Arabidopsis thaliana: one gene and its partner. The protein of the gene in region 1 interacts with the protein of each later gene in a pairwise test. Each region holds a gene or a part of one and is shown on either strand. Other genes may lie near its edges.

Region 1 (16,087 bases):
GTTCGTTCTGAGGTGAAATTTGTACCAAATAAAATTAGTTAGAGACTAGTTAATACATTCCAGAGAATATGAAATAAGCCAATAACCATGAAGGCATGAACCAAGTGGAAGAGGACATACGTGAAGTAAAACATTGCAGAATCTGAGTGTGGTGTGGCTTGCCATAAGAATATAAATAAGGTGGGGAGAAAAACATTCGGTTGCTTAATGGCACCCCATAGCTGAATCATGTTCTGCTTTGAGGTCTGAAGAAAACCAGGACTGAGCAGCGTTATATTCTCTTTCTGCCCTGATGCTGGTCTGACCACACGTTGTTCATTCACGAGAACAGCAACTGCTGAAGTTATCAAGGGTAGTAAAGCTGTCACCCCAAATACAAACCTGAGGTATAACAGCTTTTAGAATGCCACTTAGTTAGTTAGCTATGCCACGGAATACCGAAAAAGAGAAAAGCTACTGTTTGCGCAAATTGTGAACTGTACCTCACACCATATGACTCCACCAGGGAGCCGCTAAAGTAGGAACTCACAATTCCACCAAAAGCTGAGGATCCCCAGCACAAAGACTGCAGCGATCCTGACACGCTTTGTGACTCACCACGAGCCCGTTCCACTACCATTGAGTCTACTACCTATTAAAACGTTAACCACTTAATTAATATTTCAATATATCCAACTCTATCTTGCAACTTAACCAAGCTAAGTTAACCAGAATGGATTTGAAAACTTACAACATCAGAAAAGGCGACAGAGAGGGAACCGAGAAGTATACAAAAAGCAGCACTATATTTACTGTCAACAAAACCAGCCATCAAACTCCAAGAAAATGCACCAAGAAGTCCCGAGAGAACTAGATATGACCTCCTTCGATAACCAAATAGAGGCACTGAATCACTGCAAAACAGACCAACTTCCTTAAACAGTTATCACAGTCAAGAGGTATAGAGGTGATAAAGAACTCATACCTGATAAAACCATAGAGAGGCTTAACAAGCCACGGCAATGAAGAAAGACCCGTTATCACAGCTGTCTAGTCAAGAGGTATATATTTGTCAGCCTATAAAGAGATATTCCCATGAAAGTCCAACAAGGAACTACAAAAAGCATACCTCAGCAGGATCAAGATGCAAGTCATCTTTTAAATAGAAACTAACAGCGAGCCTAGCGAGTCCTAAAACACCTTGAACAAAATACACCATTGCTACAGCAACATTATCTGGTGATAATTCAACACCGTAGAATTTGATTCTGCTGCTACTAAGATTTCTTCCTTTACGAGGGGGAGGCTGTGTTCTAATACTAGAAGTAGTATCTCTGTCTCCTTCTACATCTGTATTCGATGTATCTCCTTCAGCTACACCTATTCATATACACACATTTCTGAGGATTCAGTTAATGGAGCTTCGATACTTGCAAAACCTAATCCCAAATGCCAATTTCTGAGGATTCTGTTGCTTTAAGAACTTACTGATTCGAGAATCTAAAAGCAGGCTTTCCTCAGAATCCCGCCGGCGAGGAAGCTCCGGGATTGAAACTATGGAGGACATATCTCTATCAGGAGGTCTCTTACGAATCTTCCGGCGTGATAGTCGGTGAGATCGAGCGGCGATAGCAAGGCGTCGTCTCTCGTTGTTGATGGATGGCAAAACTGTAAATTGAGAAGGTGAGATTGAGATAGAGAAAAGAGAGCGACTCGCCATTTTAATATTCGTTCTTTTTTTTTTCTTTCTTTTCTTTAAATAAACAACACTCCGTCTCTTGCGCTACGTAGATAAATTAATTTTTCTTCGTCTTTTTTTTCGATTGATAAATTAATTTTTGATTTTTCTCATGAACTATATTAGCAGCTTATTAAATTTTTATTGACAAAATATGTATTGAACCTTATATTTTAAATAATTTTGAGTTTTAATGTCTTTTTATGTGATTTATTGTAAAAAAAAAAAATCAAATTCCAGTAAAAATATGAGATTTGAATTTTTATATATGTAACTAAATAAATCTTTTTAAATTTTCTCAAATCCTTTAAAATTAATAAAGAGGTGTATTAGATCTAAGTGTGTCAAAATGGGTAACACAACTCAACTCAACTCATAATCAAATGAGTTTAGGGTTAAATGAGTTATGGGTTGATCCAACTCATTTTGTTAAATGGGTTAAGTCAACCCATAACTCATTTAATTTAATGGGTTGAGTTGTTAAATGGGTTAACCCATTTAAGTAATAATTTAATTAATTATTATTATAAAATAATAATAAATAATTATCATTATTAATTCATTATCATCAAAACTTAATATATTTACGGATTCCACTTTTTACGGGTTTACGTTTTTGGCGGGAAAATCTCGGGTTTACGTTTTTGGCGGGAAAATCATGGATTTACGTTTTTGGCGGGAAAATCACGGATTTACGTTTTTGGCGGAAAAATTACGGGTTTACTTTTTCTCAATTTCATCGCTTGTATATTTAAGAAATTTGGAAAAATATTAATTTTATTAAATTGGTTTAGATGTGTTGGTTAGACTTAAATTGGCATTGGTTTAGAGATTTTAGTTGGTTTAATTCAATTTTACAAAATTTGATGGGTTAATTGGATAAACCATTGAAACCATTAACCATTACAACCCAACTCATTTTACTCATCAAACCAATTGACTCATCAACTCATTTGACTCATCAACTCATTTGAGTCAAAATTTTCAACTCATTAGGGTTCATGGATTGAGTTGAGTTGAGTTGAGTTGACTCATTAATTTGGACCTTACAATTTGAGTTTTAGCTAGTTTTTATATGAGTTTGATGATTTTAGGAAAATTGATGTGATTTATTATAAAATATTTTAAAATTCTATATAAGACCATGAATTTCGATTTTGTTATTTTTAACTAAAGAACTTTCTCAAATCCTTCAAAATTAATAAGAATCAAATCTACCAATTATTTTCAATAACAATAGATTTTAAGATAGAATTTTAAATCTTTAGTTCAATAATACTAGATTTCATTAAAGTTTTTCAAATCCATAATCGAACAACATAGAATTTATAAATTTTACACAAATCACTTAAAATATTAGATTGAATACATTCTTATAAAAATCAAATCCATAAATTATTTTTAATAACAGTGAATTTAAAGGTAGATTTTTAAATTATTATTTTAATAACACTAGATTTCATTAGAATTTTCAAAATCCATAATTAAATAACATATACTTGTAAAATTTACGAAAGTCACTTTAAATACTAGATTGAATATACCTCTTTTAAATCAAAAACGATGAATGGATGGTAAATATACGGTTCACCCATACCCATTATAAACCGTCTTTTTCACACCTTCCATTCAACAAGAACTAATTGTTGCGTATTTGACCGATCGAAGCAAGAAGGAACGTTCTGTTTATTTTCTTTTTTGTTAAAAAAAAATCAGTATTTAAATCGTGATTTGTAGAAGAAGTATTATCATAATGCCTCTACACAAATCTGTAAGAATTGAGAGAGATAATTTATTTTAAAGAATCCCAAAGAAGCTTCAAAGACTCAAAAAGGAAAGTAACCAAGAAAAAGTCAATGGAGATGGACTCAACTACTACGATCAAACCGGAGACCCTATCCACCGTGAGTTCCTCACCTCCGGAGAAAATCCATCTCCGGCCAATGACTCTTTCCGACGTCGACGATTTCATGGTTTGGGCCACTGACTCAAACGTCACACGCTTTTGCACGTGGGAGCCTTACACTAGCCGAGAAGCCGCGATCGCGTACTTAAACGACGCTCTTTTGCCACACCCTTGGCTTAGAGCTATATGCTTAGATAACGACCGTCCGATTGGCTCGATCTCCGTAACGCCAGTCGATGAGATCAGAGGAGAGATTGGTTATGTCCTCGGAAGCAAGTATTGGGGGAAAGGGATCGCCACTGAAGCGGTGAGGCTTGTGGCGGGGGAGATATTCAAGGAGAAGCCAGAGATGCAGAGGCTTGAGGCACTTGTTGACGTTGACAATGTTGGATCTCAAAAGGTTCTTGAAAAAGTTGGGTTTGTGAAAGAAGGTGTGATGAGGAAATTTATGTATCTTAAAGGAAATGTTAGAGATATGGTCATGTTTAGTTTCTTGCCTTCTGATTCGTTGCACTGATCTGATTTGAATTAACAAATATCAAATATATATATTAAGTTTGTTTGATGTCGAAATTTATATTTTGCTTAGTTTGTAAAAATCACATGTATAATTTGATGTGATGCTCTATCTTTCTTCTTCTTATGTAATTGTTAGTTGTAACCTTATATATTAACTATTTCATACAAAAGTTATTTTTTATAATTTGAGAGTAATGTATTTACTATTTACCATGTTCACTTCACCAAATAAAACAAAGCTTCACTATCTCAGAAAAAATGTAAGTTTATATTGAAAATTAAAAGTACAAAATGAAACATGATATATATATATATATTTTCTTTTTGAATCTAAACATGAAATATTTTATACAATAAAAAGATAGTGTGATAGCTAGTTTTACAGCGATAGATGAATGGAATTCTGATAACATTCGATTAATTAATCTTTAGCTAAATTACTTAATCATACAACATGTTGAGTGACTTGATTCTTGAGTTGATTTTGACAGTATATAACAAACGATTACGATCATTTGCACCACAAATATTAACAGTATTAAAATATTTAATCCATTTAGAATAACTTGAGAAACAGTTAAATCCTTTTTGGGAATCAGACCACACACGATTTGACACGTGGCATTGTGGGCATCCAACTGGAAGCAACACATTAAGTTCCGAAACCAGAACAATACTTTGTTTGGCAACCAAGTAAGTGTCGAAAGTCCAAGGTCAAATATAGACAATTATCCACTCACACGATGACACCTCATCTTATGTCGTATATTTAACACTAAATACACTTATCTATAGCAAATGGTAATATTTAGTGTTTTTTTAGTCAAAAGCAATAAGGGAGAATCTCAAAGTTTTTCAAGATCGCGATGTGTATAAAGACATCGCTTAGACGTAGTGATATGATATCTAAAACAATCACTAATCCTAAATGGAGATGGACTCAGAAGAAACTAATCCAATAATGAGCTCTTCGCCTCCGGGAAGAATATCTCTCCGGCCGATGACTCTTTCCGACGTCGATGACTACATGGTTTGGGCCACAGATCCTAAAGTGGCTCGATTTTGCACTTGGGAGCCTTGCACGAGCCGAGACGAAGCTATCAAATACATAACCGATCGTGTCCTGACACACCCTTGGCTCCGAGCCATCTGCTTAGAAGACGACCGTCCAATCGGCTACATCTTGATCATGGCGGTTGATAACATCAGAAAAGAGATTGGTTATGTCCTAGCGAGAAAGTATTGGGGAAAAGGGTTTGCCACGGAAGCAGTGAGGCTAGTGACCGCGGAGGTATTCGAGGAATTTCCAGAGATTGAAAGGCTTGAGGCACTTGTTGATGTGGACAATGTTGGATCTCAAAGGGTTCTTGAAAAAGTTGGGTTTACTAGAGAAGGTGTGATGAGGAAGTTTATATGTATCAAGGGAAGTGTAAGAGACACTGTTATGTTTAGTTTCTTGTCTACTGATACTTTGAAGTAATTAATCAACAAAAAGATTAATTAGCAATTCTACATATATATGTTGGATTTAGTGTATGATTCATATACGTAATACATGATGTAAACACTCTGTTTTTCATTTGCCAAAAAAATCTATAAATCCTACATTGTAAATTACGAAACAATTAAAGTCAGTGCATGAGACAGAAGTGAGGTTAGAGGGATCATCCGATTACAAATTGATAGGTAGAGAAGAGTTTTAAAAATCAAAGGTTAATAGAAGCGTATAAACGAATAATGTAGAATGTAAATAAAACAATGGGATTCGTCCTGTATCCATAAAAAGGTTCACATACTCATCCAACAAGCAAAAGAAAAAAAAAGCAAAACATCCCATGGTCCTTGGGATGAGAACTTAAGAGCCAGACCAGCTTTGTTAAAATAACACAGGATATTAAAAGTATTTGTAAAATTTGAATTATGAATTTATGTAATTCAACAAATTTACTATAAGTAGTACGTAATTAATTTATTATGATTTCTCCATATTTCTTAAATTAAAGTAAACAATCTTTAGATTCCCCTGAGTTTCTTCTTCTTGTTGGAAAAATGAAGTTTACTCGTGCGTAATTCGTTAAGAGAGAAGCCCATGTGGCCCAAATTTAGGGCCCGTGTAGTGGAGGTTTCGTTATAAAGAATCTAGTGAGAAGTGAAGTGAGCAATTTCTTTTCTTTTTTTTTTGTTATGAAGAAAATAATCTGGAAATAAGAAATTACAAGAAAAAATGGATTTTTTTGGGTAAAAAAAAGAAGAAGAAATCAATCATCACTGTGCTTGTGTGAGGCTAATTTCGTTTCCCACTTTCAAAGGACTAAATATATTACTAATACAATTTATTTTAACTTCTGTGGTAGAACTAAAATATATTTGGCCTATAGATACACATGCATATCAAAAAAAGTTATTTTTAGGTTATGTGAATAAAGACTCCACTCCGTTCAATATGTCTGACCAGTCAGTCCATATAGGATATACGCATATAGTATGAAACAATTTATTAGTATTTGAAATCACTATGTAAGTATGTGATATTTTCTGTTAACCAACAAAAAAATTAGATTCATTTACTAACTAGCTCACTAAACATATGTTTTTAGGAATTAAAAATAATCTTAGCTCCAAAATTCGATAAGACTATATAGATATTTTACCTTTAAATAGGTACAAATTTGGAATGAACCGCAACATTTATCGAATTAGATAAAATATCAGAATGTCCACTCCTGTAAATCATAGCTGATGGACTTTAATTTTAATAGGATTGGAGTAATAGTTAAAGGTATTTAAGTAAATCATTTCGATATACACTTCTTGTTCTGGACCACATATTCCATTCCATTTTTATTTATTTGTTAATGTTAGGTAAAAATAGGGGTTTTCATGAAAAAAAAAATAGAGCTGATCATTGTCTCACTTCACATTGTACAAGAATGTTTTTATTTTATTTTTAATTTGGGTTTAAAATAAATAACCCAAAAAAAAAGGGAATTTAGAAGTGTTGTTGTAATCACGAAAGCTGAAACAAGAGAAAGCATGAGCAAATAGGAAAAAGAGAAAAGCATGAGATTACACAATACACTCTCTGCACTTTCATACTCTTTTTCAATCATTTCATTCTACATTCACATCTTTACACTATTCTCTCTCTTACCTTTAATATTTCAAAACATAATATACAAATTTCATCTGATTAAATTACAGCTTATATACTCAAACTAATGATTGAAAATTATTAAACCTTTTGCACGCAGTGCTACAAAAAATAATGCAAAGGTATTTGAATGTTGATATTTTGACTAATTGCTTACAATTATAACTCTTTATGAGATTGCAGAAAAAATAAAACTAATCATTGAATTTCTGTATTCCAATACATAGAATCAGAGAATGAGTGAGCTTCGAGGTTATCAAGAAGCCCTAACTTTTTCAGTACAAAGATCATCACAAGACGTTATCTTTTTATTCTTTTCACTTTTCCTTTGTAAGAAAACTATCATAATGAATGAAATAATTGCTTTTGCTGTATAGTATTTTTGTTACACTTATTAAACGGCTAAATCTTACTTATACAACAAGCATTACACTATCATTGTCTCGGGAACACACTTCAATTTACAATAATAATATTATCAAAAACTATCCCTAAAAAGACTGATGAAGAACTAAAAAAAACCTTCCATCTGTCAGTTTAATAATCCTGCACAAAAACAAGTTTTATTAAACTGTTGTTACCTTATGAGTAGAATCAAACTGAATTAAATTGTGATTACAAATTAATTATTACCTACACTGTAAAATTTACTTTTAACTCCTACTCCTGACATGATAAATGAAAGAACCGGTTTGATATGCGAAATTCTATTAACCAAGACAAAATTACAATCCTTTATACACCTGTAAACCGGAAATTCAACCGTTAAAATCAATCGAAACCGAACCGGAAACAGACATAGGAAGAGAAGTTGGACCAACCTGTTATTTGTTTCCTTTGTGTTAAAAGGAGCAATGAAATGTCTCCATCATCCACTCCTCAAGGCTTCAACATTCGAACAAAAAAAACTTTAATTGACCTGACAAAAGCCGAAACAAATTATATACCATAAGTGATATTAATATGATGAAGAATCATATACAATTATAACTCTTTATGAGATTTCAGAAAAAAAAGATCACACAACAAATCTTGGTGTCAAGAAATCTTCCATCATTAATATTATTGCTGATGATGATGCAGAGACAATATCTTATCACATTTTCGAATCGAAAACACGAAAACAGATCGCTTTAACGGGTCCATTTTTATCCAAATCAATGTGATGTGCCTTAAATGATATGAGAGGAACGTGTGGATTATACTTTTCTTGGCTGATACATAATAAATGCAGACCTGTCTCATTGGACTTAAGTCTCTATTTTGAGTTTCAGGACCACAACTATTACTACTAGTCTACTCCTACTAATGGACTACATTGGCTTTGATCAATGTCACTGACACTACATTCTATCTGCTATCTCCTAATTTTATGGTTAGAATTATAAATCTTATGAAAAGGAGATGTTACCGTAAAGAAGAAGGCTTTTCAATTTTCTTTTAGAAAAATGTTAGCTCGGTGTATCCGCGGGCGTAAGGTAAGAGTTCTTCAGCTTCGACCCGTGCAGTGGAGTGACTATTGGTTCGCTTTGATCTCTTGTGATTTGACTCAACCTCTGCGCTGAATATGCCATAAACCGGTCTATGATCAGAAAACCGTGACTCCCCTCTTACATAAGATAACTGATGTAGTCCTTCTCCATGCCATAGTATTCGATCACACCTTTAGTAACATAACCAAAAAATACCATTTTTAGATCATTACTTGGTTCTTGTTTATTATTCTGATTGCAAGAAACTTACCAAGCAGGAGTACGACGTTTCTCCTTTGGATGCAAATCACCTCCTGCATATCTATCCGAGTTATTTGAGTATTTGTAAGTTGGTGGGAAGTATATCTTTCCTTCGTTCCATCCTTTAAACACATGTCCTCGTTTCTGCTCTATCCGTAACTGCAGTGAAAACGTTTTCAAATGTTTTGGATTAGACCATTCTATAAAGTAAAAGTAATGTGAAACTCTATAGTCTCTATTGCTTTATTTGTCTACTACGTATACCTGATCGTTCTCTAGTAATGCCCTCCAGTTTTGCATCTCGACAAGTGCTTTTGCGGATCGGTAAGAGAGTGCTATTCGGTAGTTCAGATCCCCGAGCCATATTACCCGACTAAATCAAATGGAAACAAAGACAAATGAGAAATGTAACAAATCATGAATCTTAAGCAAATGATTCGATTCTTGTCATTTCTTGATGTTCGGTCTTACTCATGCTGAAGGATATTCTCAGGGGACTTCTCGTCCGCAGAACTCTGGACTCGAGGAAACCTTGTTTTCTTGAGTATCTCCATGACATCGGAGTTTCTCCTTAGCTCATCACCTTCTTTTTGTCCCGAGGTCAAATGGGTGCACACAAAGCAGAAGCTTGTTTGATGAAGCAACATACTAATTGAGATTGATCCCTACAAGAACCACAGAAGCACATTATAGCAATGCACTAACTAACCAACTAAGTCAAGCGGTAACAAACATAAGATTTTTTACCTTATTTCCGAGATAACCCATTAATCCTCTACCAACACAAGATACTTTCATGTTCTTGACGTGTTCTCGTAACTCGCTTTTCACCCAAATGGTTAAAAAGATACCAACCATCTGTTTACTTGCGACCAAACAGTACTGCGATGAGTTCCACGGGGTTCTGTAACCGTTTTCGTTTGCTGCAGAACCAAGAAATGACCCCGGTGAATTCAAAAATGTGCTTGGAGAATCCCCTGGGCCGTTATCATCATCCGAGGAGCCCCACCTGGAAACATCACTAGGCCGAGAATAGTTACTCGGCCTAGAGTAATAATCACTCGGTCTAGAGTAATCACTAGGCCTTCTTGAGTAATCACTAGGCCTGTGACCACACCTGAAGCTCGGGTCAAAATCACTTGGTCTATGACTGAAGAATACGCGATCACACACGCTGAAACGACGGTCAAGCCGTGGTTGTGAGATCGAAGGGTCATTCTCCTCCATACTCCATACGCTCGGCGTCTGGAAAGATCTTCTGTTGAAGAAAGTCTCGTTCTTTTGCCTTGAAGATCCTGAGAAGTCAGCATCAATCTCTGCAATGGGGACAGGAATAGGCGATGGAGTATGGCATGCACTGCTTGCTCCGGGAAGGTTATTGAGCGTTTTCCTGATGAGTGAATGCCATTTCTTAGCAGGACCATTGTCTTCAGCTCCAAGAACATTACCAGCATTAAGAGGAACAATCTCTTGGAACCTAAAAGAACACACAAGATAAGTAAGAACAAAAAGAGACATTCTTGAAAAGAAGATGTAAAATGGAAACACACCCGAGAACGTATATATCTGCAGGAGCTGAAGAATGAAGCCATTCGTCGAGGTTTAAATCTTCAGGAGGAGAGCGTCCAGCAACGTTCCATGTAGCTACGAAGATGCTGTTCTCAAGAATCACCAACATGAGATTCTACTAAAATAAGTCACATATGTGTGTGTGTGTGTGTGTGTGATTGTGTTCATATATATGTTACCTGTGGTTTTGGACATCAATGATTCTGGGATTTTCATAGTTCATTTTCCTTTGTCTAGCTTGCTGCTCCCAGTTCTTATTGAGTTTTTCTGTGAAACTCAGAAATCATGAGACCAAAGAAGAAAACTCTCTCATAGAGAATTTGATCATATTGGTAAATGATTATATACCAGTTTTGCTCTTCTTGATTGTGCAGGGCTCTCTCTCTGAGAAGCTGTTTCTGTGCTCAACTTCAACTCCTTATTGAATAAAAGATCAGAATTTGAAATCAGTACATAACAAGCCAATTGCTAATTCTTTAATTTCCACAGAGAAGAGTGGTTAAAGCAAAAGAAACAGTAACTGTCAATTGACCCCAAAAGAAAAGAAAGAAAGTGAAACTGAGATGTTTTGTTTTCTCAGAAAAGACAAAATATTACAAATTAAAGCTCTGCAGAACAGAACAAAGAAACAAAATTTTGACAAGAAGTAGACTTTTGGTTACCTTGAGGAAGAGAAACATCTGCTTGAAACTTTTCAGTTTTGCTTTTGATGTTGAACCATTTCCTCACCATCTTCTTGGACCATGACAACTTCATTGAAGCATAAAAAAAAAGAAGGTAAATGAAACTGTTCATCTGTAAAATTCATGAAAGATGGCAAAGAATTGAAGAAACATAAAAACAAACCTTGCTTTTCTTGGTTTTATCGTCTCTCATTCTTGCTCTTATTTGATTCACTGTTTGTTCTTGAGACTCAATCCATCCAAAAAAAAGAAGACAATAGAGATCAAATCAACTAATTTGGGGTTTTTAGTTGAATCACTGTTTAAAAAGAATTGACAAGATTTGGCTTCTTTCTTGTCCTTTGATTGAATCAGACAGAAGCTAAAGTAAAGACAAGTTGGATTAGGATTAAAGTGTTTTGTGTCTCTCTACTAATGCTCTCAGGGACAGGAATTAGGAAATGGGTATAGTGTTTTGAGACAAATGAGAAGTGAAGATTGGTTTTCAGAATAAGAAGGAAAAAAGTTGTTGGAAGAGACAAGAGTTCTTGAAGGAGGAGGCAAAGAAGACAATGAGAAAGATTTTGGAGAGAGAGGAAACAAACAAAAGTGTGATTTGAAGAGAGAGTGGTGGTTTAAGCTTTTCTACTTAGGTCCTGAATCTTCTTCTTCTTCTATGAAAGAGAAAGAGAAAGAGAAAGAGAAAGAGAGAGAGTGAGTGAGCGAGCCTCGTTCTCAGTGAAACGGCAAAGTAAAAGCAGAGGATTTTGAACAGAATAAAGCGCAGAGAGAGAGAGAGAGAATGAGAATGAGCTTATTATAAGGAACCTTCAATTCTTAGATTAATCAGTAATCACTTTTTTTTTTTTTGGCTGAGTCTAAAATATTAATTAGTCAAAAAAAGTTTTTTGATTTGATTAGAAGAAATTAAGGGAGGCTTATTCAATTGTTTTTGTTGTCTTTCCTATTGGTAATGGTTTGAATAATTAAATATTGTCCTTAACGATTTTGTGCTTCTTGGTCATAAACTCATAAAATATCCCTATTTTAAAATTTTGATTAGTAGTATTTCATTTTCATATGAATCGTCTTAAAAATATGCTACTTGTTCATGTTTTAGTGATTTCTTTATTTTCATCACTCACAACATTGATAATTTTTTTTTACGTTTTTGATAAATGATTATTTTGAAAATATGTATATTTCGTATTTGTATTTCTTGTCGTATATCCTTGTATACATGCTTAGGGCAATGTTTTATATAGGCCTACATCTCTTATAATATAAATCATTGGAAATCCACAGAAATTTCCATATGTACTTCCATTTTCTTATAAAACATCTTGTCTAGGTTAATAATACACTATTATATTTTAATTTTTAAATAATGATTCTGAACAAAATATAAAAGCAATAGTAATTATGTTTGATGTGATTATAAAACTAATACTAAATAACTAATAAATTTATTTTGAATTAACTCCTTCATAATCAACTTAAGAATATGAGTGATGCTAGGGAATCGAGAGGTCTGTGTCTGTGTCTTTGTATCATTAATAGGTCGAAGAAAACCTATAAGGTAACAAGATCATGACGGATATTAAATCATTAGACCAAACACACACGCAAATTAACAATCATTTTGAAAGTTTTCAGTTTGTAAATGCTAAACGATGTGATCAACGTCTATAACCAAATGAGCATTACATAGCCTTCCATTCAACAACAACTATAGAAAAGAGGATTAATTCCACACAACTATACACAAGCATAAAGCAATTAACTAATTATATAATACTCACATATATATATATATATATATATATATATACATGTGTGTGTGAACTGTGAAATGAATTGTAAAACATGATGAATCTTGTTTGCTTTTGACTGCCTCGTAAATGTTGAAATTTTAAGGATATTAAAGGGAGTCTTCCAAATCATTTTGGATTAGGAAGGAGCAAAAAGTTAATCATTATATAGTATTATAGAATCAACTAATGATGCATAATACTACACTATTATAAATTTATAATATAGCAAAGTTTTTCTATAGTCATGCTTTTACCGTTTTTGTTACTTACATACTTCTTGTAGAAAACATCTATTTGCCATTCAACTGCTTAACAAACGTGTAATTTTATCTGAAAAAGACGCCCACGTTTAATTTCGTTGGATGACAATGACTGTATACATGTATACACTATTTTAATCTACGATTGGTTTATATAAGTATACATATATTGTATAGTATATGCATGGATAGTCATTGTAGTTATAATATCGAAACGGATTCTTTTGCTTTAAAAAAGACAAAAATAATTAAATATTTGGATAGGATGGGTTTTGGCTTTTAGAAGGCCAGATGCCAAACATGCCTTCATCATTTCGTCTTTCCCATTCCAAGTCCCTGCCTCACAATGTTGGTCTTTTTCTGCTTTGATTTTTCGTACGTCCACCTTAAATTATTTTCTTGGTAAACCATATTAATTATATTACTTTATATCATAGTATAAACTGTTTATGGTCTATGCCGTTAGGGTTCACTTTGATGCGAATCTATGCAAATATGTATAACTGTATAAGGATCACCAAGTAGTTCTATCGTTTTTTTGCTAATCACTTACCAAATAACAGAAGTTCACTACTGTAATATATGTTGAATTAAAAAACATAAAAGGGTATCATAAGATAAACAAATTAAAATATGAGATAAAAAAACAAACTAAACAAAACAAAACTACAGTGGTTGGTTTTCTACATGATATATCCATATAGAAATAATTTGCCGCCACATCAATAAACGATCTTCCCACGAGTCGTTTCTTCGTCAGTCCACTATCACACACACGTTGTCATTTATTCTGAGTTGTATTTAACACACTTTGAGTTTTTGACCTGACTTTTCGATTTTCTTATATATTCAAAACGAAATTATACTACAAAAAGTAGAAGACTATTCACAACATTGTCAACAGAATTTCTCAAAATAAACTGTTGTACTCGTACGCGATAATGGATATATGATATATCCAACGTTTCAAAGATATCATCAAAAATATTAGGGTTTGTTTCAAAGGAAGAAACACTTTTTGTCAACAAAGGCTCAAAGCTCGCTCACATCTGTACACATATGATGATATGATCTAGTATTTGTATCATATATATGAGCATGCATGTGTATGCACTGATGCACATAACACAGACTTTAGTAGAGTATCCTAGTATCTTATGCTCAAACAATTGTGCTCCAAGAAAAGAATAATGATATAGTTTTTAAAACTTGGAAATTTCACAGAATCTATAACTTAATAAGTATAGCAAAATATAAAAAGAAACAAAAAAAGCCGAAAAAAGAAAACATATTGAAAGGGAAAGATGATATGTCACTACAACAAGACACATTACCCTTTATTGTTTGCTTTTTACTTTGTCTGGTAGACCAAAATCTAGGACTAGGAGGGATGGGAAATGTAAATTTTAGTCAGTATTAAATGTTTGGATTGTGATATCGTCTTTACTTATCGAGCATGATTTTTGCCAAATATATCTCCTATATATGAATGGACACGATCAAATTCAAAGAAACCTTTTGATTACATCGCATGTTATTAAAAAAGCTTAGCAAATCCTATTTTTATTCGTTTACGATTTTAAAGTAAATAATATAAACTCAATCTACTCTACCTTTTTCGGATATTTAAATGTAAATCACACATACACAACTTACTCTATTAAACAAGAGAAATACGATTTATGGATTCAAGGAATTTTGTTGGGAATTTGTTCAATTTTACGGTATACAAAAGAACCAAACCGAAACCAAACCGAATTTTAAGATGTATACTAAACGATGCCGTTTAATATATAGGAAAAAAGCGGTGTATAGTCGTCGTTTCTCGTTTAAGCTGATTTTAGTTTCCGTCGCCGGCTAAAAAGCTCATTCGACGCCGCCTGAGCTTTGAGTTTTGACCCGATTCTGACGTCTTCTTCAATGGCTAATCTCCTCAGAGTTCTTATGGTTAGTGAACTGGGTTCTCCTATTAATCAATTTCGATTCTACTTCTCCCATCATTATTTCTTCATCTCTTACAATTCTTCTTTTCATCAGGTGGCGGAGAAGCCCAGCATTGCCCTCTCTATAGCTTCAGTTCTCTCACATGGCCAGGTTTATATACCTCTCTATCTCTATCGATTCTCTAGTTTCTAAAAGCCTAACTGCAAGTAGCTTTGATTTTAGTACCGGAACTGTTGTGCGTTAATTCGATTCTTGTTGAATTAAGAGATAGAATCAATTGAAGTATGCTCAGCTCTGATGGATTCTTTAACGTAGCTTTGTTGACTGGATTTCACTTTTAAAACTTCAGTATCCTTTAGAGGTTAAAAACCGAATCAGTTGTGTGTGTTCCAACTTGGATATCTTTCTCCTTCTGATTCAGATGTCTACAAGGAGAGGCAGTACAGAGGTGCATGAATTTGATGGCATGTTTCGAGGCTTCAAAGCACATTATAGAGTTACATCTGTTATCGGTCATGTTTTCAGGTTCTCTCTTGCCTATCAATCATATTCAAATCAAAGAGTCATCTGCTGCTGCATAATCACACTCCCTGTATAATACGCATATTCACGTTTCTCTTTTTCTTGCTGCCCTCGCGAGTTTGGAAAATGGTTTTCATCTTTCATTATCTCTTGGACTATATCTCGTGTACAAAGCTGCTGTGAAAACCATTGCTTGCAGACATTCCAAATATTTCAAAGCAGATTTCTCAGTCTTTCTAAATACCACTCTCATATTCTAGTGTAGATTTCCCAGAAAAATATCAGAATTG
Region 2 (16,606 bases), 3.2 Mb from region 1:
ATTCTTCCTCGTAAATTAGTGTTACGGACAAGCCACATAAACCCTAAAATGGACCATTCTTCCTCGTAAATTGGTTTCCTTTTCTAAGAAAAATAATACTAGTAATAATTAAACATAAAGAGAATAATCGTTTCTGGCTTCTTTTTTTCGTTCAATCAACATATTATGCAAGTTTGTATTTGGACGATCACAAACACAAGTTGTCGTTAACAGACTGCGAAATATATTTTTTAAGTCTAACTTATATATTCCAAAAGTTTCTAAAGATGAGGAATCTATTTGCAAAAAGAAAAAATCGTTCACCTGCTATTAACGCCAAACTCACTGCAGAACAGTATATAGTGTTGATGTATAGGTTTTGACATTTTAATTTTGTGTAATTCAAAACTTAAAACAAAAAAGTTGATTCAGTTACTAGAATATCCACTAAACTTAGACTTATCATGAATTGATCATGCATTTTGAGGATAGCCATAGCAAATTGTTTTTTTTTGTTAGTTAACCAAATTGATAAAGACAAGAAGAAAGAAAACATCCAATTCTATATTTTTCATTTCGTGACTTGAAGTTTCAGATTTTATTTGATATGTTGGACTTTATCTATAAACTTCTCAACAAACATAACCTTAAACTCGACCTTAAATCTAATATAGTAAAATATTTCATCGATTTAATCAGCTGGCAGTTATATTAAATCTATTTAAATAAGTTTTTTTAATAAAACGAATGATAAACATTTTGAAATGACAAAAAAGAGTAAAATACAGTTATGACTTAGACATGCGCTCAATTCGTCTTTCTTTAGGTATTATACTGTTGAATGTAGGTGACCACATATAAATAAAGAAATACTACTACGAAAATTATATTATACACGTTTTCCTTCTTTGGTTTTTACGCATACCAATGTTTTTTAGGGGCATATGTCTCCAGCCCGACTAAAGTTAACAACAAAATAACAACGGTTGCATGCAAATGTTACAAATTCAGCATCGGTAAAATTAGGAGGGCTAAAGACCGTAGAAAAACACAGTTCTTATACCAAGACCGAACAGTCCAAGCAGGATCAAGATCCAATTAATAACGAAAGCGACTAGCATAATTATTGATTAGCCATTATCAAAACGATCTTATCTCAAGCCTTATGTATTAAATGTCAATTAAAGCTGTCCAATCTTAGAGAATTATAGTGTCCAATCTTGGGGAATATTTACATGTTGTGCATCCGTGCATGCAGGTCAATTACATGAGCATTTGATATTTATTTAGATAGAGATCACACAACATTGCGTACTTAAATTTTGTTGGCAACCCAGTGTACACATCTCCAGATACTATTTTGATCCATTTAATGGAGGGTCCAAAACAAAATCTTATATTAGTGTATAATTTATATGTACTATGTTTATGGCAATTATGGAATATTACATCAAAAGTCAATAGAAAAAGCGTGTTAACCAAGAATTCAAGAGACGTAATCACCTTTCCAATTTTATTTGTTAACTCGGTGATTTTTTTTGTTTTTCTTATAGGCCCCAGTGGGTGCAACTACTCTTCTAGTGTTGAACCAAGTTTTGGCCTTCAATTAAATCAAAACCTAATCCTCCAACCGCATAATTAAACAACATTCATGAAAATAACATATGCAAAACAAAACAATAAAAATAAACTACACAAATATATTCACCAAGTTTTTGAAAATGTATTGTATGTCTCTCTATATAAACTCCATCTCTTTTCTTGAAACTTCCCAACAAAACATTTTTCTCTCTTTTTCCACACTTCATCTAAAACCCTCCGGCTCGAACAGAAGCTTACAGAAATCACATCAATGGATGTCACCAAGAGCCTCCTCTGCTTCATCTCTTTCGTCGCCTTTCTTCTCTTCTCCTCCGTGGCAGAAGCCAACAAAGCACACCACCACGAGTTCATAGTACGACCGCGTTTCAATAATATGAACGTTTTTTATCAAAATGTTAATCAAAATGTAAAAGAAGATGTATGCTTACATATAATGTTTATGCATGCAGATACAAGCGACAAAGGTGAAGAGACTATGTGAAACACACAACAGTATTACAGTCAATGGAATGTTTCCCGGTCCAATGCTTGTAGTCAACAACGGTGACACTCTCGTCGTCAAAGTTATCAACCGGGCCCGGTACAACATCACAATCCACTGGTAATACACGATTTAAACCACACTCTCGTGCTTTTAGTGATTAATGGGCCCGTTTCTTTACTGTATTGAACGGTTTGGTGTGGCTATCATCTATAGGCACGGTGTGAGGCAGATGCGAACCGGTTGGGCTGACGGACCGGAATTTGTGACCCAATGCCCAATCAGACCGGGATCAAGTTACACGTACCGGTTTACAATTCAAGGACAGGAAGGTACACTTTGGTGGCATGCTCATAGTTCGTGGCTTAGAGCAACTGTCTACGGTTCACTTCTCGTCTTTCCTCCTGCTGGTTCGTCTTACCCATTCACAAAACCCCACCGCAACGTCCCTCTCCTTCTTGGTAAAATTATACTAAAAAATCATAATTAACAAATTCAGTGTGATCATAGTTAATAAATAGGTGATTTTGATTCTGATAATTTATGATTCTTTAAGGTGAATGGTGGGACGCAAATCCGGTTGATGTGTTGAGAGAATCTATACGAACCGGAGGAGCTCCGAATAACTCAGACGCTTACACCATCAATGGTCAACCTGGCGATCTCTATAAATGCTCTTCTCAAGGTTTTACTCTTTTTCTTCAAATTAATTTTAATTTTATCAACTGTCCAAAAACTTGTCCCATATATTTTACCCTGTTTTCTCCCAACTGTCATAACTGACTTTGGTATCTTTTAGTCAAAATAAAACACATCAGCCCAAAAGACTCAAATAAGTATATTAACTAGACTTTTTTATAATCTTTTGGTTACAGATACGACAGTAGTACCAATAAATGTTGGTGAGACTATACTACTACGAGTAATAAACTCAGCATTAAACCAACCGTTATTCTTCACGGTGGCTAATCACAAACTCACGGTGGTCGGAGCTGACGCGTCATACCTAAAACCCTTCACCACTAACGTGATAGTTCTTGGCCCGGGACAAACCACAGATGTCCTCATAACCGGTGACCAACCACCAAATCGCTACTACATGGCCGCAAGAGCTTACCAAAGCGCCCAAAACGCACCGTTTGGAAACACAACCACAACAGCAATCCTTCAATACAAATCCGCCCCTTGTTGCGGTGTAGGCGGCGGAAGTGGAACCAAGAAGGGTAATTCCTTCAAACCGATCATGCCTATCCTCCCTGCCTACAACGACACAAACACCGTCACACGTTTCAGCCAAAGCTTCCGGTCACTTAGACGAGCTGAGGTTCCGACAGAAATCGACGAGAATCTCTTCGTAACCATCGGACTCGGTCTCAACAACTGTCCTAAGAACTTCAGATCAAGAAGATGTCAAGGTCCTAACGGCACACGTTTCACTGCATCGATGAACAACGTTTCATTTGCTCTTCCAAGTAACTACTCACTCCTTCAAGCTCACCACCATGGGATCCCCGGAGTCTTCACAACCGATTTTCCGGCGAAGCCTCCGGTGAAATTTGATTACACTGGTAACAACATAAGCCGATCTCTCTACCAACCTGATAGAGGGACTAAGCTATACAAACTCAAGTATGGATCAAGGGTTCAGATTGTTCTTCAAGACACAGGTATAGTAACTCCCGAAAACCATCCCATTCATCTACACGGCTACGATTTCTACATTATCGCCGAGGGTTTCGGTAACTTCAATCCCAAGAAAGATACCGCGAAATTCAATCTTGAAGACCCGCCTCTCAGAAATACTGTCGGTGTACCTGTTAATGGTTGGGCCGTCATCAGATTCATCGCAGACAACCCTGGTAAGCTAAACTATTAGTATAAAAATACTACTAGTTATCATTCATTACAAGTGTTACTTATTTTTATCCAAATTTCTTCGCTTTTCAGTTTAGCTATAAAATTTACATGATTCGTTAATTTATTATATATATATCGAGACTAGTCCCTAAACTAAATACGTGTAAAAATGATTGAAAACAGGGGTCTGGATAATGCATTGTCATCTAGATGCACACATATCGTGGGGACTAGCCATGGCTTTTTTGGTTGAGAATGGAAATGGAGTTTTGCAGACAATAGAACAGCCTCCTCATGATTTGCCCGTTTGTTAGGAGTTCAAGAACTTTGTAACATAAAACCACATTATAGTTTTTCATGTTCTTCTATTCAATTGTTTTTTGTTGGTTATAGACGTAAACCGGGTCATACTCCTGAGTTGGCCCGGACCCTTCAGATTAAGTTTTCTCGATTATTGATGTATTCTTTTGACATTATAGTACCAAATCAAGTGCTAAGAGCCTAAGCATACGTATCATGAAAGTTTATTTTTTTCGTTTTTCTTTATGCTTAATTGACCCATTACTTCGATTTCTTTTTTTTTGTTAAAAGGTTTCATTCACTCGATTTGTGTATGACTAAGAGCATGAATTTGATATGTTAGAATTAGAATGAATGGTTGTTGAGCTAAATTCCTACTTATTTCCATAATCAGCTTAGAACTTTTGCGATCATAATAAACAACATAATTTGTTGGCGTAATATTTGCTGAGTCAATATTGAATGTTGAAGTTATAAAGAAAGAAACTTATCCTAATTCCATTTTGTTTTAAAACGCATTGCTATGAATTGATGAGTATTATTCTTTTACGTAACATTATTGAATTTGAACTTGAGAAGATGATAACGAAATTAATTGAAAAAGAATAAGTGAATATGACATCAAGAAAAAGTGGCCTGAAATTCCAAATTAGTTGAGCAGAAAAGTTTGGGGCAAAGTGATTTCCGACGCGGATTAATCATAACATCGACATTACTAGAAGAAACAAAAGTTGTCATGACTTTGTTATATTTTTGAGTACTCAGAGGGCTAATTTTATAACAAATGTAACAAATGATAATAATAATATAATTCTTACACATGCATGTTGCCACTAATCTACCGAAATATTAGAGTAGACAAGAAATTAACGTGTAATAATTTGTAAGAACTCCGATTGTCATATTTGATTTAATCCATACAAAAAGGTGAAAATCCAAACTAAATCTTACCGTAGAAAATAAAACTTAGGTCGCGAGTGTGAGCTTAGCTATAAACACGCAAAATATATAAAAGAATAATTGATCTTTTACATGATAGATATTCATAAATTTTTAAGGCATTTGCAAACCAATTAAATACTAAAATAAATAGCAAACTAAACTCATTTGTCATCTTAAAACCTAACATATATATTTTAAAATTCACTAACCAGATAATATCTATTATACAAATTTTAATAATTGTTAATTTATATTGGCGAAAATCATGATATATAACTATTATCAGACACTTTAGAATTGGATCAACCAAGAAGAATAAAAAAGTTTTAATCACAACCAAAAAGTCTATTTGTCGTTTTCACTTTTCACCATTCATCAAACACCACCACAAAGGTTTTAAATTTTTTCTTTTATCGTCTTCACGAAAGGCCCATTAGTATATAGGTCCATTATCTAAAACCCTAAATCTCTTGTTACGCATTCCCATGCCTTGTTCAATAAAAAATTATTCTCAGGCCCATTAGAGAGTTACGACTTCAACCTAAAACCCTAAATCTCTTGTTACGCATCCCCTTGCCTTCTTAAAACAAATTTCTTCTCAGGCCAAAACTCGCCTCTGGAAGCTCCGATGACGAAGAGGAGCAAAGGAGCTAACGAAGATAAGCTGATAGAAACCAAAAGCAAAAACGTTTCTGGAAAATCTCAGAAACAGAAGAAACCAGTAGAAGCAGAAAGCTTAAAAGAGGAAGACCTTCTACAAGCATCCGGAACTGATTCTGATTACGACGGAGATGTATTCTTCTTGCTCCTCTTCTCTTTTGTAACATCTTTATTCTGCATTTGATTTATTCTGGTTTTTTTTTTTTGGGTGATTTTTAGAGTTTGCCTGGTTCTTTGAATTCCGACGATTTCGACTCCGATTTTTCCGATTCAGAGGATGATGGAACACATGAAGGAACAGAAGATGGAGATGTAGAATTTTCCGATGACGACGACGTGCTTGGTACTTTTCTTACTCTGCTTTTCGTCTAAATTAGCTCAAATCTTAAATTTTTAGTGTTTATGCTTTTGAATTGAAGAAGCTAATTATAGTGTGTTAGAAAATACTTGCGGGAGTTTATAATGGGGGAATAAAGTTTCTAGCTTTAACATGGGAAAGTAAATTCAAGTAAGAGAGATTAACTATGTTAGGATATGTTGGTGCAGAGCATGATGGGTCAATTGATAACGAGGATGATGATGGAAGTGAACATGTAGGTAGTGACAATAATGAGGAACATGGGAGTGATGAAGATTCTGAGCGAGGTGAAGCGGTTGAAGAGAGCGATTCCTCAGAAGATGAGGTTTGATGCTTTTCTCTATCTCATATTGGTCTTGAATCTATCTTTCTCCATTTCCAGATGAAGTTATAGATATTTTTGTATCTTTAATCTGTAGGTTCCATCTAGAAATACAGTTGGGAATGTTCCCTTAAAGTGGTATGAAGATGAGAAACATATTGGTTATGACCTCACTGGGAAGAAGATTACTAAGAAAGAAAAACAAGATAAACTCGACTCTTTTCTTGCAACTATAGATGACTCTAAGACTTGGTCAGTATGAAGACTTTTCTGTTTGTTGGTATGTGGTTAGTTGGTGTCATAATGCTGATGAAAGTTTTTGGGGATTTAGGCGCAAAATTTATGATGAATATAATGACGAGGACGTTGAGCTGACTAAAGAGGAGAGCAAGATCGTTCAGAGAATACTCAAAGGGGAAGCTCCACATGCGGACTTTGATCCATATGCAGTACGTATCTGTTTTATGTGTAGCCGTTTTCTACTAATGTTATGCAAATCTCTTCAATTTGTGACCTTTTGATTGATTCTCTTGGGACCAGCCTTATGTTGAGTGGTTCAAACATGATGATGCAATACATCCACTCTCAAGTGCACCAGAGCCCAAGCGAAGATTCATCCCTTCAAAATGGGAGGCCAAAAAGGTTGTTAAGATTGTTAGAGCAATACGTAAGGGGTGGATCAAGTTTGATAAGCCTGAAGAAGAGCCCAATGTATACCTTTTATGGGGTGATGATTCGACATCTGATCAAAAGAGCAAGCATTTAACTTATATTCCTCCACCCAAGCTTAAATTGCCAGGTGAAAACTTTTCGCTGACTTTCTGTTGTTTCTCTTCCTCTCTTGGGAATTCCGTTTTCAAACTTTTAATTTGTACTATTTGGCTTTCCAGGACACGATGAATCATACAATCCTTCTTTGGAATATATTCCAACAGAGGAGGAGAAAGCCTCATATGAGTTGATGTTTGAGGAAGATCGTCCAAAATTCATTCCTACAAGGTATGTAACAGTTTCGCTTATTCTACTCTAATGTAGTTTCTTTGGTATTTGTCCGCTGAGCGTTTCAGTAAATATATCTGCGCATAGGTTTACATCTTTGAGAAGCATCCCTGCGTATGAGAATGCACTGAAGGAGTCTTTTGAGCGTTGTTTGGATCTATACCTATGTCCAAGAGTTCGAAAGAAGAGAGTGAGTACTTATCATCTCAGTTTTTGGTTTCTTCTTTGTTTTTCCCGTATTTTTTCTTACATTATGTTTCTTTTCTCCAGATAAACATCGACCCTGAATCTTTGAAGCCTAAGCTACCTAGTAGGAAGGATCTTAGACCTTATCCTAACTCCTGTTATCTTGAATATAAAGGCCATACAGGGGCTGTTACTTCAATATCCACTGATAGTTCTGGCGAGTGGATAGCCTCAGGTATTTCATTATTTTTTTTTTTTTTCAATGAGGTCTCTTTTGTTTTCAAGATGCTAATCTTGTATTCTTTTTTCCTTCAAAGGTTCAACTGATGGATCTGTCCGTATGTGGGAAGTGGAGACTGGTAGATGCCTTAAGGTCTGGCAGTTTGACGAAGCTATCATGTGTGTGGCTTGGAATCCTCTTTCCAGGCTTCCAGTTTTAGCCGTTGCCATGTGAGTGAGGATCTTGTGAATATGCTTTTGAATTTATTATAATTGTCTGTTGTGAAACCTTCTCATCTCACATTGCAGGGGACGAGATTTGTTTTTTCTGAACACTGAACTTGGGACTGATGAGGAACAGGAAATTACTAAAGAGAGGCTTCACTCAGGAAACATCCCAGAACCAGACGCATCTGGTAAGTGGCTTGGAATAACTGCCATCATCTCGTATGTAATTGTGATGAAATTCCAAATGATTAAATCTTTTTGGTTGGTATGTTTTGCACGACTTCATAGTTGCAGCAATTGTAACCTGGCTACCTGATGAGTTATATGGAGGGATTAAGATAAGACATTTTAAGGTACACTTTTGCAAAAGATTCTCCTTTTAACAGTTATTACATAAGGAAAATCTTAAACTGGTTTGTTTACTTTCAGAGCATATCGTCTATTGACTGGCATCGTAAAGGAGACTATCTCTCAACAGTGATGGCATCCGGGGAAACACGGGGAGTGGTATTGCACCAACTGTCAAAACAGAAAACACAAAGGCTCCCATTTAAGATTCGTGGACTTCCAGTCTGTACACTTTTTCATCCCAGCCTTTCTTACTTCTTCGTTGCGACAAGAAAGGACGTGCGTGTTTACAATCTTTTGAAGCCAGGCGAGGCCACCAAAAAGCTTGAGACAGGATTGAGAGAAATCTCATCAATGGCGATTCATCCTGGTGGTGATAATCTGATAGTAGGAAGCAAAGAAGGGAAGATGTGTTGGTTTGACATGGATCTATCTTCGAAACCATACAAGACTCTCAAGAATCATCCTAAAGACATTACAAATGTGGCAGTTCATCGATCATATCCGTTATTTGCTTCGTGCTCGGAGGATTCAACAGCTTATGTTTTCCATGGAATGGTGTATAATGATCTGAACCAGAATCCTCTGATTGTGCCATTGGAGATTCTAAGAGGTCATTCTTCAAAAGGAGGTCAGTTTTTACAGTGTATTTGATTCTTACAAGAATACACTATCGCATATTAACTTGTAAGATCGTTTATATTAATGTGTTTTGATTATTTTTTATGACTGCAGGAGTCTTGGACTGCAAGTTTCATCCGAGACAACCATGGCTATTCACTGCAGGCGCTGACTCTATTATCAAACTCTATTGCCACTAGATTGGTCGCAAACCATATTTTGACAATTTTCATCTCTTTTCTTCTTTGTTGTATTCACCACCTTTACTCAAATATTGTATCGTACAATTTTGTTATACTGGATTTATTATTGAGATTTCTAACTTGTAGCACTTCCAAAATGGTAAAGTCCAAAATCTTATTGTATCGATTTATTTGGCAGCGTTGGTTAAGTTGTGGCAAGTCCTTAAACCCAAATGTTGATTTGATAGTTTTTTAACGTTCACTCACAAGCGCCACGTCATCACCGAAATATCTGAAATATCTAATAAAGGCTTCTTCTTTCACAAATCCCAAACCTTTTTTTTTCTCTGCTAACGAAAAAAGCCATCTTCTTTGCTACTACTAATCTACTATTACACTGAATCGTTTGGGTTCTTCTTCTTCTTCAGCTGCTACTTTGTTCGAGTGATTGCTGACATGCCGTCAGCGTCGGAGATTGTTGACAGGTTTGTTTGTCCGTTTTTTTTGTTTTTGTTTTCCCGCTTGTGTATGTGTGCTAATTGTTCATTGTTAAAGATTTTGTTTTTACAGGATTGTTGTTGTTTTTGAGTGGTATCAAGTTCCTTAAAGTAACTTCTTTTGTTTGTTTAGTAGTTGAAAGCTAGAAGGTTTTCACTTTAGGGTTTTTGGGGTTTTTCGTAGACAGAAATTTGTTAATTTTGGGCACAATTTGTCTCTTTTGGATTACGTTCTGTGCGATTTGTGGCTTCGAGTTCGTGTGGGGTTAAGAGACTTGGAAATTAGAGGATCTTTAGCTGGAATAAACGTTAAATGTGGTACCTTTCCTGAGTTTGCTCTGTTCTAATTGTGGTCGTGATGGGGTTTCTTTTTATTCGCTGTGATGCTGCAGATTGTGAAAAATTCTTGTAGCTACTTCGGTGTTGGTAGATTCTGTGATGCTTAAAAATTGTTTCTTTGAAGGTGCTTTGATCCCAAGTATAGTTGAACATGTTGCTTTAAATCTTGTTAAGAGAAAAAATGGGACTTGCTTCTGTGCCCAATAGTTCACGAGCATGTTGCTAATCTTGCTTCTATGCCCAGGAAACGGAAGTCTCGTGGAACACGAGATGTAGCTGAGATTCTAAGGAAATGGAGAGAGTACAATGAGCAGACCGAGGCAGATTCTTGCATCGATGGTGGTGGTTCAAAACCAATCCGAAAGGCTCCTCCAAAACGTTCGAGGAAGGGTTGTATGAAAGGTAAAGGTGGACCTGAAAATGGGATTTGTGACTATACAGGAGTTAGACAGAGGACATGGGGTAAATGGGTTGCTGAGATCCGTGAGCCAGGCCGAGGTGCTAAGTTATGGCTCGGTACTTTCTCTAGTTCATATGAAGCTGCATTGGCTTATGATGAGGCTTCCAAAGCTATTTACGGTCAGTCTGCCCGACTCAATCTTCCACTGCTGCCACTGTGTCAGGCTCGGTTACTGCATTTTCTGATGAATCTGAAGTTTGTGCACGTGAGGATACAAATGCAAGATCTGGTTTTGGTCAGGTCAGACTAGAGGATTGTATTGATGAATATGTTCTCCTAGATAGTTCTAGTGTATTGTTAATCGTAGTTGACTATTGTGAGGTCTTAAGTTGTAGATTGAAAATGAGATAGCTCATATGGAGCTTTATTGAAATGCAAGAAAGTAAACAAAGGAAGATCTTTAGATTGTCACCAAGAGTGGTCTGAAACTCTCATAACACTCAATCCTCCTCCTCCTCATCACCACCACTACAAAATATTATATTCTCTATCTCTCAATCTATGAGGAGATGTATTCTATCAAGCATTTGAAATGATAAGAAACTGGCGATCATCCTCTACGTCACCATCACTCCAAAATTATCCTCTTTCTAGGTTTAAGTTTTGTAATGATCGCCTTTATTTGTTGAGATCTCTAACTTCTCGCATTTCCAAAATGTTAAGTCCAATAACTGCATTGGTTAAGTTGGGGCGTTACTAGTCGGCTTAAATCCAAATATGGATTTGATTCCATATGTATGTGACAGTTTCTTAACGTTCATATTACAATGAATGATGGATCCTTGACTAGACAAAGAGAAAATGGATTGTCACTTCGTAGGAAAAATAGAAATTCTCCACGAAGGCTGGTCTCCTTTATTTAACGACAAATTCACTCATAGTCTCATTCACAATTTGAACTTGTCTAACACAATGTGTTATATACTCGCGAAAAGAAGCATAATAGGCTCTTAAGGGTAATCCACGAAACCAAAACACATATAAAACATTAATATTTTTCTCTAAATTTATTCATATCAATAATAAAGTTTACAAAAAATATAAAACAATAATCCATACTTAGCCCATAGCTTCGTGTGGAAGAAGACTTGATTTTTGACTAGTCAACGAAAATGAGTAAATGACGTATTCAGCTATAGTAAAAGGGATCATAAGCGGAAATTACAAAGAAGCTTTGAGGGTAAAATAGTCAAAAAGCATAATCAGAAATAACTTAGGCCCAAAGCAAAAAGGAAAGGACTCTGGATCCAGCCGCAAATCAGAATCTGGTAAGTTCGAACGCCACGTCATCACCTAAATATCTGAAATATCTAATTAAGACTTGTCTATATATAAAGGCTTCTCCTTTCACAATCCCAAACCTTTCTCTTCTCTGCTAACGAGAAAACAAAAGCTATCGTCTTTGCTACTACTACTACTACTATTATTACATTGAATCCTTTGTGTTCTTCTTCTTCAGCTGCTACTTTGTTCGAGTGCTTTCTTACATGCCGTCGGAGATTGTTGACAGGTTTGTTTGTTACATTTTTCGATTTTTCTCCGTTTTTTTTCCTCTCTTCTGTATGTTTGCTAAATGTGATTGTTCATTGTTAGGGTTTAAGATTTTCTTTTTATCGATTTTTGTTGTTTTGTGTGTATATCCTCCAAGTTCCTTTGTTTGTGTAATAGGTGGAAGCTGAAAGGTTTTTCAATTTTAGGGTTTTTGGGGTTTTTTGTTGACTGAAATTTGTTAATTTGGGGCACAATTTGTCTCTTTTGGATTGAGTTCTGTGCGATTTGTGGATTCTAGTTCGTGTGTGGTTAAGAGACTTGGAAATTAGAGGATTTTTAGCTAAAATAATCGTTAAAGGTGGTACCTTTCCTGATACAGAAGTTAGATTATGGATTCTATGTTGAATCTTTAGGTGATTCTCTGTTTCTGAGTTTGCTCTGTTCTAGTTTCTTAATCTGTTCGTGATGGAGTTTCTTTCTTGCTCGCTGTGATGCTGCAGATTATGAAAACTTCTTCTTGTAGCTACTTCGGTGTAATTACGTTCAGGTGGTTAAAAATTGTTTCTTTGAAAGGTGCTTTGATCCGAAGTATAGTTGAACCTGTTGCTTGAAATTTTGTGAAGAGAGAAAATTGGAGTTCTCGAGCATGTTGCTAATCTTGCTTCTATCCCCTTTGATTCTACCAGGAAAAGGAAGTCTCGTGGAACACGAGATGTAGCTGAGATTCTAAGGCAATGGAGAGAGTACAATGAGCAGATTGAGGCAGAATCTTGTATCGATGGTGGTGGTCCAAAATCAATCCGAAAGCCTCCTCCAAAAGGTTCGAGGAAGGGTTGTATGAAAGGTAAAGGTGGACCTGAAAACGGGATTTGTGACTATAGAGGAGTTAGACAGAGGAGATGGGGTAAATGGGTTGCTGAGATCCGTGAGCCAGACGGAGGTGCTAGGTTGTGGCTCGGTACTTTCTCCAGTTCATATGAAGCTGCATTGGCTTATGACGAGGCGGCCAAAGCTATATATGGTCAGTCTGCCAGACTCAATCTTCCCGAGATCACAAATCGCTCTTCTTCGACTGCTGCCACTGCCACTGTGTCAGGCTCGGTTACTGCATTTTCTGATGAATCTGAAGTTTGTGCACGTGAGGATACAAATGCAAGTTCAGGTTTTGGTCAGGTGAAACTAGAGGATTGTAGCGATGAATATGTTCTCTTAGATAGTTCTCAGTGTATTAAAGAGGAGCTGAAAGGAAAAGAGGAAGTGAGGGAAGAACATAACTTGGCTGTTGGTTTTGGAATTGGACAGGACTCGAAAAGGGAGACTTTGGATGCTTGGTTGATGGGAAATGGCAATGAACAAGAACCATTGGAGTTTGGTGTGGATGAAACGTTTGATATTAATGAGCTATTGGGTATATTAAACGACAACAATGTGTCTGGTCAAGAGACAATGCAGTATCAAGTGGATAGACACCCAAATTTCAGTTACCAAACGCAGTTTCCAAATTCTAACTTGCTCGGGAGCCTCAACCCTATGGAGATTGCTCAACCAGGAGTTGATTATGGATGTCCTTATGTGCAGCCCAGTGATATGGAGAACTATGGTATTGATTTAGACCATCGCAGGTTCAATGATCTTGACATACAGGACTTGGATTTTGGAGGAGACAAAGATGTTCATGGATCTACATAAGATTTCAAATTTCGTTTGACTGGCCTAAGTTTGTGATTCTGCTCCGAGACGGTGTAGCTGTTACTAGCTAGAAGCTGCCCTTCTTTGAAGCTACTGATACTTTCTGATATTAATGGTTGTGAGACGTAGTACATGTAGTTAGGTAATGTAGGACAAGTTCAAATATGATTCCTTCTTTCTTTTTCTTGTGAATACATATGACATATGAAGAAGTTCAAACGTTGGGTTTAGAAAAAGTTTATAACATTCGGTACATATCAAAGTTTTGAACTTCGGATGCATATAAGCTATAAAGTTTTGATCTTTGAACTTTGGATACTCTCACATCTAATTTTCATCCTTAAGAATGGAGATGGAATAATGCGATGTTGCGTAGTGGTTTTATTGACTTGGCAAGTTTTGATTATTCAAGAAACTTGGCTTAGTTTAATGGAAATATCCAGTAGTGGAGTTTTTTGGTCTGCAGACTTTCCTCAGGTTGTCTGAGATTACATAAGCAATGAGGTATGAATAATAAAGTTATCATTAGAGAGTTATCTATCTGTATTTTCTACAAAAGGCAAATTGGGTATTTGAAAGTGCAAATGGGACATAGTTGTATATTATTTAAAAGGCTTTAACTATTCCATTCTGGTCTCCAAAATCGTTTTTCTTGCTCGAATCTTGAAGATCTTCTAAGCCTTTAGAAAAATGAAGAAATCAAGTTGGCAAACTGTTAATTAATTAAATCCAATGAATTGGTGGGTATTGCACCTCCACAAGTTCCCTTTGACAATGTGTCCTCTTCTCCGCAAGAATGAGATGCAACTATTTTGGACAATTTCTCCTTTTAATTACTTTTTGATCGATAATCTTCTCTTAATATCACGTTGTAATCTGATTCATTCAAATATCTATCGAAATTTAAGCTTATCTTTGATTTTTTCGATACTTATTTTTGAAATTTTAAGTGCATTTTGTTTATAATCATAGTTGGGGATTTAATAATTTTAGGTGGAATAATATTTTATGCATATTGGAGATTTATTTCTCGAGAAATATTCACAAACAAACAAACAACCGGCTTTTGCACAAAAATAATAATGACATGGAGTCGAGTTGTTTATACTAATGTTTGTCACTATCTCACCATTGGAATTTAAATCTTGGATATATAATACATGTTTTGACAAAAAAAAAAGTTGGCACAAATTATGTTGTTGTAACAAAATACGTCTGATGCATTGATTTGAGATTGACTCTTTGAACCCAAAAATGTATCACCGTAATATTAATACATTTTCCACATCAACTTGTAATCTATTTGTGTTCAGTAATATATTGGTGAGTGATTATGTCACCTAACCCGAAAGCTTATAAGATGAGCAATCTTTATATCGAGGATGGTGCAAAAAATAGCAAATTGTAACTTTTTGTCCTTCTTATTCTATAAAATGTCAGATATAATTAGTACTGCAAATTGCTCGCTTATTCGTATTAATCTTAACAACTAGGGCTACTTGGGAATATGTATAGTTGTTGGAAAAACTAATGCATTAGATAACCCTTTATTATTTTTCCCAATTGTGTTTTGTTATTATGCCCACCACTCAAATCCAAGAGTCCAATATATTCATATGATTTGAATATACGTTTGTGGAAGAAAACACACCCAAGAAATATTGTCCAATTCGTAAATTTCCCTGACTTTACGTTGGTTACTTTTAGCAAACTGCTTAGTTTGATTTTCTTCTAATTCGTCTTATTAATATTCTGTTCTTTTCTTTGTTGAAAAGGAATTTGATTAATACTTTTTTTAGTATCGTCGAAAGGCTCAAGTTGATTACAAGATGAGGAAAGATTATTATGATGGACCCATGACATGATATCTTCACCAACTTGGAACATTGAAAGTCCTATGGAGTTATTTTTGAAATTTTTACCTTAGTCAGAAGGTTCCAACAAAATTAAAAATCCACCAAAAACGCATCCAAGAATAGTACCAACTGAAAATAGATCGGCAATCACAAAGACAAAGGTCGGTCCTCCCAACCAATTTGTTTCAAGAATTTTTTCAAACCTATGCATAAATTAAGTATAGCTCTTAACCAATATATATAGCTTAACCAACTCGACACATAGTGATCATGTTCTTATAATCTTTAATAACGTTTTAGAGTTAGCTATATATATAGCCTCGAGACAGTAGAAGATTGAAATATCTATGCAAAACCTCAAAGATAATGTTCAATGTTTTTATATTCTGAATATTGATATAATCGGTGAGATAGAGATGAGTTCAGAATTTTTTTCTCGGTATCTTAAATGATATTGATTTCATTTTCTCAACTTTCATTCAAGAGTGTTTTTGGTTAAAACATAAAAACGTCCATTCTAATTATAGTAATGCTTGTGTGGTTACGACAACATGCTCATTCATTGTAATAAACTGGTGAAATATATAGCACCATTGACAAATAGACAGCCTCAGTAACAAAGCAAGGAAAAACAAAATTAAAATTTAATAACCGGTTATATTAAATATCGAGAACCAGTCCGTAGAATTTCATGGGAAACCGGGCCGGTCCTTGATATAAAGAAAGAGAGAGACGTTTCTTAACTGAAGCAGTACACAAACTCCAAACAAATCCCAAGTGGACAACCGAAGAACCCACACAAACTAACTCTCTTTCCTAATCCACATACTTGCATTTTTATATATAAACACTCTGTCCTTATATAGTTCTGTATATTACATGTAAATATCTCTCATTAATACAACCTCACGAAGAAAACCATTTGTTTTCTTAGAGAGAGCCAAGAATATTAAAAGAGATATAGAGAAAAGATTTGCTTTAATAATGCCA

Evidence for each region.
Region 2: the proteins of AT2G32020 (region 1) and AT2G40350 interact in a two-hybrid assay, tested with the Arabidopsis thaliana proteins (one large-scale study listed by BioGRID).

The regions. Positions count from the first base shown.
Region 1 is NC_003071.7:13,620,728-13,636,814, reverse strand, and holds AT2G32020 (Acyl-CoA N-acyltransferases (NAT) superfamily protein), read left to right. Parts: upstream 1-4,885; 5' UTR 4,886-5,070; coding exon 5,071-5,622; 3' UTR 5,623-5,835; downstream 5,836-16,087. Other genes in the region: AT2G32040 (Major facilitator superfamily protein), read right to left, coding at 1-7, 121-381, 483-631, 731-893, 965-1,029, 1,109-1,359, 1,468-1,699; AT2G32030 (Acyl-CoA N-acyltransferases (NAT) superfamily protein), read left to right, coding at 3,574-4,140; CVL1 (CVP2 like 1), read right to left, coding at 8,734-8,956, 9,037-9,185, 9,291-9,399, 9,498-9,691, 9,774-10,503, 10,577-10,681, 10,775-10,862, 10,944-11,012 and 2 more; AT2G32000 (DNA topoisomerase, type IA, core), read left to right, coding at 15,252-15,278, 15,369-15,425, 15,697-15,800, 16,058-16,087.
Region 2 is NC_003071.7:16,845,819-16,862,424, reverse strand, and holds AT2G40350 (Integrase-type DNA-binding superfamily protein), read left to right. Parts: upstream 1-9,621; 5' UTR 9,622-9,740; coding exon 9,741-9,769; intron 9,770-10,356; coding exon of another isoform or gene 10,357-10,364; coding exon 10,365-10,830; 3' UTR 10,831-10,991; downstream 10,992-16,606. Other genes in the region: LAC5 (laccase 5), read left to right, coding at 1,832-1,933, 2,031-2,182, 2,279-2,523, 2,619-2,747, 2,938-3,921, 4,103-4,233; AT2G40360 (Transducin/WD40 repeat-like superfamily protein), read left to right, coding at 5,790-5,954, 6,041-6,164, 6,368-6,504, 6,599-6,753, 6,833-6,950, 7,042-7,300, 7,392-7,500, 7,588-7,690 and 6 more; DREB2C (Integrase-type DNA-binding superfamily protein), read left to right, coding at 12,575-12,618, 12,758-13,760; PYL6 (PYR1-like 6), read left to right, coding at 16,601-16,606. UniProt on the Arabidopsis thaliana protein: Putative transcriptional activator that binds specifically to the DNA sequence 5'-[AG]CCGAC-3'.